Linked DNA regions of Arabidopsis thaliana. The protein of the gene in region 1 interacts with the protein of each later gene in a pairwise test. Each region holds a gene or a part of one and is shown on either strand. Other genes may lie near its edges.

Region 1 (10,163 bases):
TTTTAATGTTGATGTTTTGTGTTTTGACAATATAGTTTATGTTCAGTATGGTTATTGTATTTTTTTCCTACTGCTCAATTATATATTCGGTTGTGTGTATAATTAAAGAACACGTATTTAAGGTAACGATAACATTGGTTATTCTACGGATTTATGGAATTAGGCGATATAATATGTATATTTCTGTAAGCATATGATTTTGAATGGTTGTTGATGTTTTTTTTTCTTATATAAAAACTATATCTTCTGTGGTGGGTATAAGTATGTGACACTTTATTTTCATAATGATATTTAGATTTAGTACTTGTATTTATTTTATTTATGCAATGCAATGTGGATATCTCAAGAATGTATATTAATTTGGACAGCAGGTAATTAAAATAACAATTATGAAATTCTAATGATGTATCATAAAATTGAAATTGAAATTAGTAAATGTGTTTGTCACAAATTTCTAAAAACAATATATGTTTGTAACATTAATAATTTTGTTAGAAACTTGGTAATTAACAAAGCCCATTACATTTACCTCTTTTGTTTAAAGCATACTGTTATTGAAGCCCAAATCTAAAACCGAAGCCCACTTAATTTTTTCCAGCCCAAACACTATTAACAGTTTTTACTGTTACCAACGTTGAGAAAAAAAACAAATTTGGATTCAGTTTTTTTTTTTTTGTCAATCACATTCCGATTCAATCTGAACCCAGCTTCTTCACAACACCATATCACTGATCGATTGACAATTATTTGCGATCAGGGTTTTGATTCAGTTTTTGTCCACTTCTCAATAGATGATGCTATAAATTGATGAAAGATTAGAACATCATATATTTATTGTTTTAATTCTGTTATTTAGCAATGACATATAAAGAGAGAAAATATTTTATGAAATTAAAGCCATTAAAAACATTATCGAGACATATCCGAAGGAAGTAGTATTGAATCAAGTATCTAGAACTAAACATTCTAGAGTAAACAAAATTTCTGAAGAGAGTAGTCACTGAATCAAGTATCTAATTTACTTCTTGTATAGTACATTAATAAGTGTATCTTGTTCTTTGCTAAAGGAACTCACTTACATTTCCAACAGTATAAATAGTATAGGCAAAACATCCAGTTATATATGTTAAAACAAGGAAACCAAACCCAACAAGTTTATAATCTGAAACATCCACACAAGCGTAATGAGTCGATGGTATAATAGAGACATCAATTGTTTGCAAAGCCAGAGGTCGAAACGTATAACCTGGGCATATAAGGGCATACAAAACAATTTCAAATTGTCATTTATCACAGGAAAGCCTGAGATTCAGAGCTAAAGAGAAGGGGAAAAAAAAAAAAAAACCACCTAATAAAAGAGAGATGACAAGCACACAACATGAGACATTCCTCAAAAAAAGTTATGATCCCACAATAGTCTATACTCCACATCATGTCCTGTATTTAACAATCACAAAACCTCAAACTAATCTAGAACTTGAATTCTCAATTGCAACTAGGCCTGGGCAAAATACCCGAACCTGAAGAATCAAACCAAACCCGACCCAAAAAATCCGATTCGAATCCGAACCCAAAATTTTAAAATACCCGAATGGATCCTAAACTTCAAAACCCAAAAACCAGATCCGAACCTGAACCCGATCAAGTACCCGAACATATCCAAAATATATATATAACAAATAATTTATCAATAATAATCATATCTACAAGTCTACAACAACTTAAATGCCTAAAATATTTGGATTTTAAGTTATTTTGTATATTTTTAGGTATTTTACCTACTTTTAGATAAATTCGGATAGAAAATAATCAAGTTTTTATAAATTTTTGAATAGTTTCAAGTAATTTTAACCTATTTTGATATAAAAGTTTTGAGTTTTGGATACTCCTGATAAACCCGAATCCGAACCCAAAAAACCCGATCCGAACCCGAAGTCTTAAAATACCCGAACGGGTCTTAGATTTCTAAATCCGAAAAACCCGACCCGAATATCTGAACGCCCAAACCTAATTGCAACTTTCACATATTTTAGAAACTAAAGCAGATATCATAGCCATTGTCATCACATTGCCTCAACAAATTTGTTTTGCCAAATTTTGGATAGTAACTCAAAGATTATCGCACTCAAGAGTTTAAGAAAACTTCCCCAAAGTGATCTTCCTTACAAACACATAATCACGATACAAATAGATCTAACCATCAAGCAGAAGACCAAAAACAACAGAATCAACAAGCAAACCAAGACCATGAAAGTATAAATTGATTAAACTCAGAGAAACAATTAACCAAAAGAAACTCATGTTAAGAATGTTGGATGTGGCTTACTTAAGTATGGTAGTTGTGTTGTTTAGTTCATGAAGACCTTGTAACCAAAAGAACAACTTCATGATATTAACCAAATCCAAAGACTGAACACAAAAATATCTTCCTCTAGACCTTGGACTAAAGAGTTAGTAGAAGCAGCAGGTAATATACACATTTTCATTGTGGAACAACTATACCTTGTTCAAAGTTTTAAAATGGTTTCGACCCGTGGAATGTTTCACTAACTTGAAAATTCAATTACTAAATAAAAGGGAAAAAACCAAAAAAAAACCTCAACTAAATTTTATTTGGACGTTTAAGACCCAATTGTTTTTTGTTGGAAGGTAAATACACGAAGTAATAAAACCGTGCAATTTAATACACAAACAATTAATTATTGCTATTTTAATACTCACGATCTCATAACAAAAATAAAATTCCAAATTTACCCTTACCATCTCAATTAACTATTATTTTTTTAATAATATAATTTTAATTTTATAATTTTGAATAAAAATTAATTTTATTAACATTTTAGTTAATGGTTTCACTAACTTGTAAATTCAATTACTAAATAAAAGGCAGCAAGAAATGGAAAGATAATTGCTACATTTATAACTCTACTTGTAAAAATTCTGTCATCACTAAGGTCAACAAAGAAACGAATACATAATCGAAAAAGAAAAAGAAAAGAAGAAACAGAGTAAACAAAAGTCAAACTATGCTTTGCTTACTCGTTGAACATTTGCCTAATACAACAGCTTCACTGAACCAAACAGTATGGTTTTTGCGTGTTAATAGTCCTTCATAAAACTCCACAATCTTCGCTGATACAACAACTCTTACACTTGGTCTCAATCTGAAAAGTGAAACCATCTTTCTCTTACAGGGTCACTGAAATCAATTGGTTCCTGCTCCGATGTGAAGCAGCTCCTCGGGGATTGCAGCTGGATCTAAGTCCCAACAGTTTTCGGGAAAGCCGCTGGTTGCATCTTTAAGAAACCAAGACGGCACTTGATGTGAAAACCGCAACATTTCACACCTTGGTATCCACTTCTTACTGTCCTCCCTTGTGCTCCTGTGATACACGGTTTTGTAGCCCTCTAATTTAACAAGAGGGGTAACGCACACACCATACTGTTCAGTATACTCATCAAGAATCTCGACCATTTCATATTGGTGCCTCACTTCGTCCGGTGTTGATCCGTCCCAGTTCAGTGACCAGTTCTTGTAGACGGCCCAAATCTCCCCAGCTGTGGGGAAGATTCGAACACAACCACCTCTCCCTGTCTTCTTGCCTTTTAAAAGATGCGAAAAGATGTTAACATGGTCTACTATGTCAGAGTTTCGTATCCTGAAATGTCCACACGACTTTGTAAACCCATATTGTACCCATTTCATTGACCCAAACTCGATGTCGGTTTTAGAGCTTAAGTAGGCAATGTCAATCTTAAAGGGTTGAACTGAGAGTACTTCCCTCACCACACAATATAGGCGTGGCATACCATCATCTTCATCATAAATTGCCCATATTTGCCTTGGCTCAAAGGATTCCTCCGATCTGTTTTTATCAAAGTCATGGAAATCAGAGTCTGGAACTGTTATTGGCCCGTTAGTTTTGCGCCCTGTAACATCTCCCAACTTACAGGAGAGAACAGTTTTTTCATCAAGGGGTGTTGCATCCTCTGCAGCCGCTGCTGCCTCTAAAGCCAATCTCATCATCTCCAATCTTTGCTTGATATCTGTTCTGGCCTTTTGAATTAAGGGCTTCCGTGTATCCAATACTGATGCAGCAGACCAACGTCTAGTTGAACTTTGGATATGAAGTTTGTAATCCTGATCCATTTTGGCATCTGTATTCGCTGTCTTTGATACTGAAACAGATCTCAGAGGGTTCTCAACAAATCCATTAGCAGCAGCTTCCATAAAAACTTTGCTTTTCTTCCCAGGTCTGCCGACCTTATTTGCACTCGCGTGAGCAGACATGCTGATCTGATTAGGATATATCAGACCACCTGGTGTGCTTTTCTTCGAGCATGTCCCATTAGAACCATCTTTGACTTTATTTATTCCCCCGCTGACTACTGAGTTGCTGTGCTTATAAGGATACCCATTAGACACTGAGGACACACGCTTCAAATCCAGATTCCCTGGGGAGGTTGTTGTTCCAGAGTACGAGCTCCATTCATATGAACCATTCGTACTATAATCATATCCATGTCCTTGCCCAGGATAGTGGCCTAAGAAATACGTGGAATTGGTGGGCATGCGTGACATAGCATCATAACCATGTGCACCATAGCCATTACTCGGAGGCGCATGAGATGGAGGCGCATGAGAGGGAGGCGCATGGGATGGAGGCGTGTAATGAAATGGTGCACTAACAGGAGCTGGACCAGTTTCTACAGCAATAAATGCTCCACGACAGTTCTTACATGAAAGCCTCTTATTCACATACTTCCTCAGATACTCATACTGAACTTTGCAAGAGGTGCATACAGTCCAGAAAGTATCAAGCCTTTCTGAAGATGGTGGAAACCGATCAAATACTGCAGTCCCCGTCCCAGTCCCAGTCCCAGGCATGTACTCTGTGCTATGCTTCTGAACCTCAGTGGAGTCAATATGCTTCTTTCTTTTGTAATAAAAAGTGCTTTTATTAAACTCATTAGACAAGAAACTCCAAGCTTCAGATATGAGATGAAATGCACCATCAGCTCCAATGCATTTGTTCTTATCAGGATGAAGCAATACAGCCATCTTCTTATACTGTTTCTTCACTTCTCTTTTCCCCGCAGACGGTTTCAGTCCAAGTACCGCGTAATAATCAATCTGACCACCGCTTCGAGTCTGAGAAGCTAAATAAACTTCAAACGTCGCAACCATCTGAGATAAACCTTCCAAATCAGGAAACAAAGACTTCGCTTTCAACGCATAACTCCTAGCGCTTGTGAAATCTTTCTCCGCAAATCTCCTCTCAGCGATCTGTTTCACTCTGAGAGCTTCCTCTCTGTAAGCTTCCATGTAGAAAGAAACCAACACAATATATGACAGCTCTACAAAAGGAAACTAACACCGTTCCCGCAAGCATTCCATATTCAAGCACCAAAAGATCATCATTATCTGCAAACAAACATTCACAAGAACAACATTAATTCTTTTTGAGTCACTACAAATGCAAACCAATACCTAACCAACCACACATACTCAAACAAACCCATACTTACTAACTTACAACAACCATCCTAAGATTCGAGATCTAGAATCTCCAAGTTCAGATTTTTTTTTGACAAAATCGCTAACTTTATATCACAAAGACATAGAGAATTATACAAAACTAGATTTAGATAGTCAAAAAGTAGCTTAATTTTATCTCCATTTTGAACAAATTTCACCAAAAAGTCAGATTCAAGCTATCAACTTCATAAGACAAAACCCAACTCAAAAGGATTAAACTTTAAATCCCAACTCAAAGTTTACTAATTTCTTCAATAAACAACAATGACAAAAACCAAAAACCTAAAATTTCAATAAATGAAATAAACTGAGAATCGAAGTTAGCGATCTTACTGATAAATTGGGGAAAATTACAAACACAGCTTCAAAAATAGATCTCTGAAACTTCTTCTTCCTCCAGAGATTGAGTAGATCAAATCGGAAGTAAACAAAAAGCACGAATCTTTAGGCAAAGATTTGGAATCAAGAACACAGCTTTAATAACTACAGTAACTTTAGGGTTTTAGGGTTTCAGTGAATTCAGGTAATCGGCGATTCAGGCATCGAGAATGAATCGCCGGAAAACACCGTCGAGAATTTCGGGGAAAAAAAAAATGGAAGCTAAAATAAAAATTTGTTTTTTTTTTTGTTAAGTAAAATAATTTTGGAGTGAAAGTAAACGGTGCTAATTTGTTAATAGTGGTTATCTCGACTCTGATATATGCCATAATAATTTTATTATATAAAGTATGGTTTTAAAAATTACTAACTCATAAGATTATGTCATGTGTCAAGTCTATCGATCGGATGTTGACACATATAAAAAAATAATTAACTTTTTTCTTTTTAAAGAAATAGAAATACTAAAAAAGAAATCAATTAAATTTTTTCTTCTTAAAGAAATAGAAAACTAAAAAATAAATCATTATTAACATATACTAATTCATATATTTATATATATGTAAAATATATTACATTTTATTTTTCTTAACCAAAAGGAAAATTAACCAAAAATATTTATATATGTTATTGGTCAAAATTTTAATATGTATGGTATTAACAAATTTTTTATTATTATTAATTATGTTTTGTTAATTGTTAATAATTTTTAATATTAACTAAGATATAGATTTGATCTCATATATATATTATTTTGACATGAAATCATTATCAAGTAAGATGAAGTGTGTAGAATTAAAATCGAGTTTTTTATGAAATAGATAGTTAAATTGTATTACAAAATTGAATATGTAAGATAAAAATTTATTCTTTTCTTCTAAATACTAAATTATAATATAAAAAAAGTGTGTAGGTTACTATTTAGACTTCAAATATCATCAATAAGATTGAATGGGTATAATAAAATAAAATGCATAAGACTACTATTTTACTATTCAAAATTATATATCAAGAACAATGTATAGATTATTATTTTATTATTCAAAATTTAAATATTATAGATAAAAAATTACAGTTACATTTTACACCCGCCTATTTAGGCGGGCTTTATCTAGTATCATAATAATAATTTGTTAATAGTGTAATATATGAATATGGGTTAAAATAATAGTTTCATAAAGTTATAGAAAAATTCAACTTTAATAATTGTTAACAAAATAATAATATTTGTAAACACCATCCAGTTAACCTATGAGGTTATGACTCATGAAGATTCATTTAAGAATTTTCACACTTATTAAAAAAATTATTAATATTTGTTTTTTTCTATTTTCTAATAATTATACATTTCTCATTTTGTTCACAGTTCTAAATAATTATAAACTGATACTTTTTTTATGTCACTATCGTGTGATTGGATGTTGGAAAGTATGTAACAATTGCATAGTTGGGTTTTTTGCCAATGTAAATGTAAGTTGTTAGGGATCTAGTGGCACGCTTTGTGGCTGTGCCTATTCCAAAACTAACTGCTAGTCCAAACATCTTACTTTGGGAACGCAGTTAAGATGTCTTTTTAAACCTCATTTCTTCTTCTCCAAAATTTAAGAACAGATCAGAAAAAAATGTCTCGAGTAGAAAGAATTGTATAGTATTGTTTTGTTTAGCCGAAAGTGTTTTCGCTTGTCTTTACTCTTTGTACATATTTCTTGGATCAAAATTTTTTAACCCTACACTCTTTACCATAATATTCATAATAATTTCAGTTCTCTAGATTTTTGGCCAGTCAAATTAGCATTTCGAACTATAATCTATTACTTATGACGTGAATGCAATGGTCGAGACACTAGAAAGACCCGATATCAACCTAAAACATCGATAATGAAACACAATAGTTTCAAACTTTTGAGAAACATAAATCCATGAAGTAAATCAAAGGTTGCTAGAGTAGTCGTTAAACTTGCTTCTATAACATTGATTTCATTGCTCATGTCAGTGTCTTTCATATCTGGAAACAGAGAAACAATTTGTTTACTCTCACTTGATTTGAATGCAATGGTCGAAACACCATAAACACCATAAACACAATAGTTTTAAATTTTTGAAAAACATAAGTCCATGGACTAAATCAAAAGTTGTTAGAGTAGTCGTTAAACTTGCTTCTATAACATTTTATTTCATTATGCCATAAACATCAAACCATTTACACCTAACATCTCTCATATAATTTTAATAAGAAAATGTCATAAAAATATATAATTTACTTCTTTTTGACTAAAAAAACTTTAACTATTCCATTAGATAAAATAAATTTCCAATTTTATGTTGATTAAGTCATTTTATTTTCCTTTTAAAGCAATAATAACGAGTTAAAATTATTGACTAACAACGGAGATAAAATAGTAAGTTCAATATAAAATTGAAAATTTTTTTATCTAATAAAATAGTTTGAAAGCTTTTTCGTTAAATAAGTTTGGAATTGTTTTTAAAATTCTTTATTTTTTCTTTTTTTGAACAAAATTCTTTTCTTTTTCAAAACAACCCAAACACAGCATAAAATGCTACGCGCTTGCCGACAAAAAAAAGCAAAGAAACGCTTTTACGAAACATGTCAAGTCTAATTAGTCTAATAATTGTATGTTGTTCTTTGCTAAAGGAACTCACTTACATTTCCAACAGTATAAATAGTATAGGCAAAACATCCAGTTATATATGTTAAAACAAGGAAACCAAACCCAACAAGTTTATAATCTGAAACATCCACAAGCGTAATGAGTCTATGGTATAATAGAGACATCAATTGTTTGCGAAGCCAGAGGTCGAAACGTATAACCTGGGCATATAAGGGCATACAAAACAATTTCAAATTGCCATTTATCACAGGAAAGCCTGAGATTCAGAGCTAAAGAGAAGGGGAAAAAAAAAAAAAAAACACCTAATAAAAGAGAGATGACAAGCACACAACATGAGACATTCCTCAAAAAAAGTTATGATCCCACAATAGTCTATACTCCACATCATGTCCTGTATTTAACAATCACAAAACCTCAAACTAATCTAGAACTTGAATTCTCAATTGCAACTAGGCCTGGGCAAAATACCCGAACCTGAAAAATCAAACCAAACCCGACCCAAAAAATCCGATTCGAATCCGAACCCGAAATTTTAAAATACCCGAATGGATCTTAAACTTCAAAACCCGAAAACCCGATCCGTACCTGAACCCCATCAAGTACCCGAATATATCCGAAATATATATATATATATATATATATATATATACAAATAATTTATCAATAATAATCATATATACAACAACTTAAATGCCTAAAATATTTGGATTTTAAGTTATTTTGTATATTTTTAGGTATTTTACCTACTTTTAGATAAATTCAGATAGAAAATAATCAAGTTTTTTTATAAATTTTTGTGTAGTTTCAAGTAATTTTAACATATTTTGATATAAAAGTTTTGAGTTTTGGATACTGCGGATAAACCCGAATCCGAACCCGAAGTCTTAAAATACCCAAACGGATCTTAGATTTCTAAATCCGAAATACCCAAATCCAAAATACCCGACCCAAACCCGACCTGAATATCCGAACGCCCAGACCTAATTGCAACTTTCACATATTTTAGAAACTAAAGCAGACATCATAGCCATTGTCATCACATTGCCTCAACAAATTTCTTTTGCCAAATTTTGGATAGTAACTCGGAATCATTGACTACTAGTATTAGACCCGTACGGAGAAAAATAACTTTAAAGACGAAGATGTAAGAGATTAAACATGAACTATTAACACAAAGTCACTACCTAGAGCCATATACAAATGGATCATCTTCAAATTCTTTTGTTGTTGTCAGTTTATCTTTCAGTATGTCGTCTTTGTTATGAAGCCATCTCCATGGAAACTCCATATACTTGATAGCATCGTCTTTTCAGTGACATTTAGTGCTTAAACGTTTGAATAACGTTTTTGAATTATTTGTCTCCCTTTTGTCGTAATTGTTGTAGCCCGTAGTCACCTACCTTCAAAAGAGAAACATGTATAGACGGATAATAGAGATGGATTAAAGAAATGAGAGATAGTATACAAAAGTCAGCTATATTTTTTAAATCCTTACACAAATATTGAATGCAAAACAGTGTAATGCAAAATCATAATCAAGTAATTTGTTACAAAACATTATAGTAGAAAAAAAAGTTTGCACTTGAGTAACCCGATTTTAAAGATACATAAGTCAC
Region 2 (6,459 bases), on another chromosome or scaffold:
AAAAAAAAAAAAAAAAGGTTATGACTCGAATACTTTACATTCAAAAGTTAGAAGTAACTTTGAAATAACTAAGCATAGGCTCGAGTTACCACAAAATTTGGGAAAAATAACTATGCATATATAGGCTTGTCGAGTGCTGGGATGATCCTTTTTTTTTTTTTGGCTGGGATGATCCATAATCATTAAACAAAGTAAATATTGCATTGCTCATCATCCTCTTCCTTTATTATTTTTGTTTCAGAGATTTAGATTGAAGTTAAAGCCATAATGCTCCAGCAAGCTTATAGTATGCTCATCTAAGATTTATTAGTTACCCAATTAATTGAGAGTTACATTTTTTTTTAATTCTTTAGCTGCAAGATGCAAAGAGGCAAGAAGGATGAACCCTCCTTATTAGGCTCTAATTCTTTGAGATATTCCCACTATCTAAATTTTAATTTTGTGTGTATTTTTTATTTATTATTCGAGATATTTATTATGTCCTAAAGTTGATTCTCTTTGAAAAAGGCTACATTAGATTTAGACCCGTAATATGAAAGTTACGTACTTTAAAAAGCTATATATAAAGGACCCTTGGAGACCCTTCACTACATCAAACACAAACTCAAAATTATCTCTTATCTTCACCCAAAGATTATAAGCTCTCTACACTTTTTTGTAGTATAGTCTCTTATTTCAGTCAAAAGACACACATTTGCATCCTCCGTGAATCACTTTCTTCAGAAAATTTACAAAAACAATGGAGAACCTACAGAAGATGATCTCTGAGAAGTCGGTAGTAATTTTTAGCAAGAACTCATGCTGCATGTCTCATACAATTAAGACTCTCTTCTTAGACTTTGGCGTGAACCCGACTATCTATGAGCTCGACGAGATCAACATAGGAAGGGAGATAGAGCAAGCATTGGCTCAGCTCGGATGCAGCCCGACCGTTCCGGTGGTGTTCATTGGAGGGCAGCTTGTTGGTGGAGCCAATCAAGTCATGAGTCTCCATCTCAACCGCTCCCTTGTTCCTATGCTTAAACGTGCTGGAGCATTATGGCTTTAACTTCAAAATAAATGTAATTTCAAATATATAATGCAATTAAGTTACTATAATTAAAGTGAACAAAGAAAACATACACAAGAATGTATGTATGAGTTAATGCTATGTCTATCTAAGTTTTAAAAAGATAGATTATCCGGTTGCCTATTTTGTAAACACTGGTTCTATTATAATAAATTCAGCTACTCTTGGATTTCTCCTTTCCAATGTGCCCTCTATTTATATATTTCATGCATGCATAGATCTAAGATCACATGCGTCGACGTTATTGAAAATGTACGCATTTGCAAATAACTTTATTTCATGGTGTAAAGAGAAAGAACATATCTTATCATTATTTATTTTTCTTGTTTCCATTATTAATCGTGTTATTGTAAATAAAGCTTCTGTCTAATTTAATCGCAATTATTCAGATCGTTCTTATGGTGTTTAATCGATTCCTTCGTACAAATATATATTCAGAGACAACTTACTACTAAACATAATAGTTCGAATAACCAGATGTTTAACCTGTTAATTGATGGTTCGTTGAAAATCATATATATCAATTATAGAAAATAATACTATCTAATAAGAGATTTCCAGCATATACATATTTAAGTTTAGCTAAAGGCAGAAATATAAATACTTTCTTATATATGGTTTTATTGTTTTAATAGGTAATAGAATGTAAAGCCTTAATTATGGGAATTGGTTCATACGAGTAATTTCACATAATGGACTTAGAAAGATATCTAACTTTTTATAAAGAAAAATTCTTACACTAATAAGGGTTTGTTACAAGAAAAAAAAAGTTTATCTTAGGATTTAAATGTTAGGATCTGATGTTATTTACTTATTTAACTAGTTACAAGTAAAACTTTTGCTGCGGGCCTGCGGCTTTCGTAAATTAGTGATATGATCATATGAATGAAGCAGATCTGTGTCATCTGTCTATCTTTTTTTTTTTTAAACAATCTATCTTTAATTAAAGAAAATTTTGAATAGATGTAAACTAAATATTAAATTCTTCTCTATCCATTTAAGAAAGTTGTGGGCGTTATTGTTCAACATCATGGTAGAAAATGACGCTACTAACCATTAAAACAACAAAGTGTGTAAAGAATTGGATTCTACCATAAGAGGAACACGTTGCATTGTTACATATATTCCATGCTCTAGGACGGTACGGGCAAGTTGCAGAATAAGATGTGATTTGGCATATTACATAATGTATGTGTCGGTACATGAATCACGTACACTGAAAATGATGATAACCTTGTATTGTGATGTAACAATAAGTGACTCTTGAGATCGAAATGGGCCACCATTAATACTATTTTGAAGAGAAAAACAAAAAAAAAACTAATATTTTACATTTTTTGTATATTTTTGGTTTTAGGATATATATATACGTGGTTGCTTCACTATCATACTATCATATCCATCTTGTTGGGCACGAGCTTGAATTTCTAGCAATCTTATTCATCGAATAGGGAATAAAGTTCAATTTTGTTTTATTCTTTGACATTGCAAGATTCGATTTCATGCATGACGGTAAGGCTAAAACGGAACCACAAAGTTTGCCTTTTTCTCTCAAGTGGTTATAAAAAAACAATTCTTGAGATATTATCTCATACTCTCTCGAGTTTTCTCAAACACTGAAGCTTGCAACTCTTTTTGGCGTATCTAAAACTATGTCCAAGGCGTATCTAAAACTATGTCCAAGCTATCCAATGATTTTTACCCGATTTTCAGCAGAACACATACACTATGAAATACTATAAAGTATGATTGAAAGCATATTAGATATCGAAATATTTTTCCATATATCATGTACACATAACCGTTACAAAAAATAATTGCTATATTATTAATAATTTCTTATTAGACTCAAAAATACTGTAAGAAATATTTCAATTAATTTTGAATACTATATTAGTATAGTACACGAAATCCGATAATTTCAATTAACGACGACTTCACGATAACATGAAATCTTTTCGTATATAGGCGTCAAGACATTTATATGTCGATAATGTGTTGGATATTTTTGACGCATTCCTGACGACATATTTAGATTGAAAGTAACATTCTCAAAACCAAAAATTATTATCACAAGCCTAAATGAGCCAAAATGAAATCCGGAGTAAACACTATTAGCAATTTTCAACTTTATTTGAAACTAAAAACATATTTCGGAATTTTGAAATTTTATAAGTCAAACGAGTTTAGCAGAGATAAAACTCATTTCTGCTTTTTATCAGTGGTTTTCACAATGAAGGCCGTACTAATGAAACATGACATTATTCGTCCGTATCAATTATTCCTCATATATATCAAAGAGAGATTTTGTTTTCTGTACGTTTTACCAAATTAGTTGATAGTTTTATTCTTTAGCTGCAAGAGGGAAAAAGACTCAAAGAGTCAAGACGTGTGAACCGATAATATCCTCAGATTCTTTCGGAATACTTCGACTATCTTAATTTTCATCATTTAAAATTGTGTTCTTTTATTTCTTTACTTACAATTTGAGATATTTCATATTTGTGCTAAAGTTGATTCTCGTAGAAAAAGGCAACGTAATAAGAAAGGTTACGTACTTTAGAAAGCTATATATAAAGGACCTTACCCACTTCACTCCATCAAACACAAAAACACAGAGTCACTTCTCATTTTCACCCAAATATATCAATAATCTCTCTATAAGTTATCTAGTTTTCCCATATTCATCTCTAATCTAGCATTTTGACCAAACACACCTATTTTTCTCCTTTGCAAGACAGTTTTCAAATATCTATCACGTTATATTACTAATGGAGAATCTACAAAAGATGATCTCCGAGAAGTCGGTAGTGATCTTTAGCAAGAACTCTTGCTGCATGTCTCACACAATCAAGACTCTCTTCTTAGACCTTGGCGTGAACCCGACGATCTATGAACTCGATGAGATTAGCAGAGGAAAGGAGATAGAGCATGCATTGGCTCAGCTCGGGTGCAGCCCGACAGTGCCAGTGGTGTTCATAGGAGGGCAGCTTGTTGGTGGAGCCAATCAAGTCATGAGTCTCCATCTCAACCGCTCCCTTGTTCCAATGCTTAAGCGCGCTGGAGCTTTATGGCTTTGACTTCAAAATAAATGGAATTGCAAATGACTTAGGTTCTGAGAAACTTATTAATGTGAACAAAAAAAGGTAAAAAAAACATATACAAAAATGTATGTATGAGTTTATTACTATATATGTCTATCTATCTAAGTTTTCAAAAGATAGATTATGCGGTTACCTATTTTGTAAACATGCATCTAAGAGATATTTATATTTTATAATAAAAATCAGCAACATTTGGATTTCTCCTTTTTCCCAATTCATATTTATATAATTTTGTATACATATATGCATCTAGAAATGAATACACGTGCACTGAATATAGATGATTTTTTATGGTGTAAAGGAAAAAAGAAAGAATATATAACTATTTATGCAGAACATGCGCCAAGACATAATAATTAATTTAAAAATTTGAAGAAGGCATATTTTATAGGCTAAGAATATTGTATTTGTATCTGCCACAAATTAAAAAGCGATGACGAGTCTGAATCGTGTGTAATGTCAAGCCTTAACTTTTCAAACGAAATTCTTACAATGATATGCAACTGTTAATAAATGTTAGGCGTGATTGTCAACTGAATTAGCTAGTTACAACTTACAAGTGTAAAAATACAGGAGATTGCGTAAATTTGAGATATGGATCTTAGAACAACTCTATAATCAATTAAAGAAATTTAGAATTAAGGTAAATCAATCATTAAATTCTTCACTGTCTATCTACAGAAACATTGTTGAACATCATGATAAAAAATGACGTTTCTAACCATTAAAATAACAAAGTGTGTAAGGAATTGGATTCTGCCATATAAGGAAAATCTTTGCATTGTTACATATATTCCAATAATAGGACAGTACGAGCCAGTTGCGGAACTTGATGCGAATAGGCATCTTACATACATATAATGTGTCGGTACGTGAATCACGTAATGTTCAAATGATGATAACCTTGTATTGTGATATAAGAATAACGGCTCTTGAGATCAAAATTGGGCCACCAATAATCTTTTAGGAAGGAAGGAATGCAAAACTATGGCTTTAAAATTTTGTTGAGCCCCACGTGGCTGCTTCACTAATCAATCTTCTTGGCCACAAGCTTGAGATTTCAGAATTTCGTGGAATTGAGGATAAAGCTCTCTTTGATTCTTGATTCTTAACATTGTAAGATTCGATTTCATTCATGACGATAAGGCTAGAACGGAACCACATAGTTTTCCTTTCCCTCTCAAGTGGTCATACAAGAATATTATAATTCTTGAGATGCATTATATCTTGCGATTTCGAGTTTTCGCAAATTAAAGAATGAGAGGAGCTAGAAACTTTTTATGGCATATCTAAAACTATGTCAAAGGGACATGACATACATATGAAATTCTATTTCTTTATAGTATATACATATGAAATAAAAAGTTTTCATGATATTACGTATCCCATTTATGAGATATGGAAGTTAATCAAGAATTGGTTACTTCTCATCTCAGGTTTTCTTGTTAAGTCTTTTCTTTTTGTTCTCGATTCCTTGTCTTATCTCATGTAACCTTAATCCTTCACTCAAGTTATAAGGTGACTTAGATGACCAAAGACATGTGATTTACATAACTGAATTGTCTTTTGTTAATGTTCTATAGTAACTAGTTTTATTACAAATAGCACATTGTTTGTCAACACATGGAATTTACCACCCCGAGTCTTTAGAACAATATGGAAACTGCAAATTCATGCGGTTCTTATTGTGGGCTTCGACGATGTGGACAAATTCAAAAACTATTATTGTTTGCTCGATCATTCATGTAAACCAGGTGACAAGCTGACCTAATTCTATCATTTTTAGTTATATGGCTAACATATATAAACTTGGACTTTTTAGGACATGAGTTGGGAGATGTAGAATCCTGGTATTTACTTTAACTCAGTATTTATGATGATGGTTTTTCTAATTTCAGTTTGAGTTAAATTTTTATTTCGGTTGATGCGGCTTCAAGACACGGAGAAGTCTATGAGAGACAAGACATATCTTCAATTTTCTTTAATTTAATAAAGTGTTATTTTATTATTTTGTTTTGAAGTGGTTTAGGATCAGTTTAGATCGTAAACCGATTAAATTAATTAATTTATGTGTATTTTGAGGTCTTGATTCGGGGGTATCTAACTTTAGGACATAGTATTATTGACTTTATTATGTGGGCATTATGTGATACTTCTATCATGTGAAAATAGATCGTGTCTTTTTGTTTTATTTTGTGGATTGTTTTGGTTTTGTTAAATTGATCGGATAATTTGGGTTTGGTAGGAGTTTCTGGTTCGAAAACCAAACACGATCCGAATTCTAAT

Evidence for each region.
Region 2: the proteins of AT2G05230 (region 1) and AT4G15700 interact in a two-hybrid assay, tested with the Arabidopsis thaliana proteins (one large-scale study listed by BioGRID).

The regions. Positions count from the first base shown.
Region 1 is NC_003071.7:1,896,613-1,906,775, forward strand, and holds AT2G05230 (DNAJ heat shock N-terminal domain-containing protein), read right to left. Parts: upstream 6,214-10,163; 5' UTR 5,873-6,213; intron 5,426-5,872; 5' UTR 5,327-5,425; coding exon 3,206-5,326; 3' UTR 2,856-3,205; downstream 1-2,855.
Region 2 is NC_003075.7:8,933,705-8,940,163, forward strand, and holds AT4G15700 (Thioredoxin superfamily protein), read left to right. Parts: upstream 1-3,653; 5' UTR 3,654-3,840; coding exon 3,841-4,149; 3' UTR 4,150-4,420; downstream 4,421-6,459. Other genes in the region: AT4G15690 (Thioredoxin superfamily protein), read left to right, coding at 740-1,048.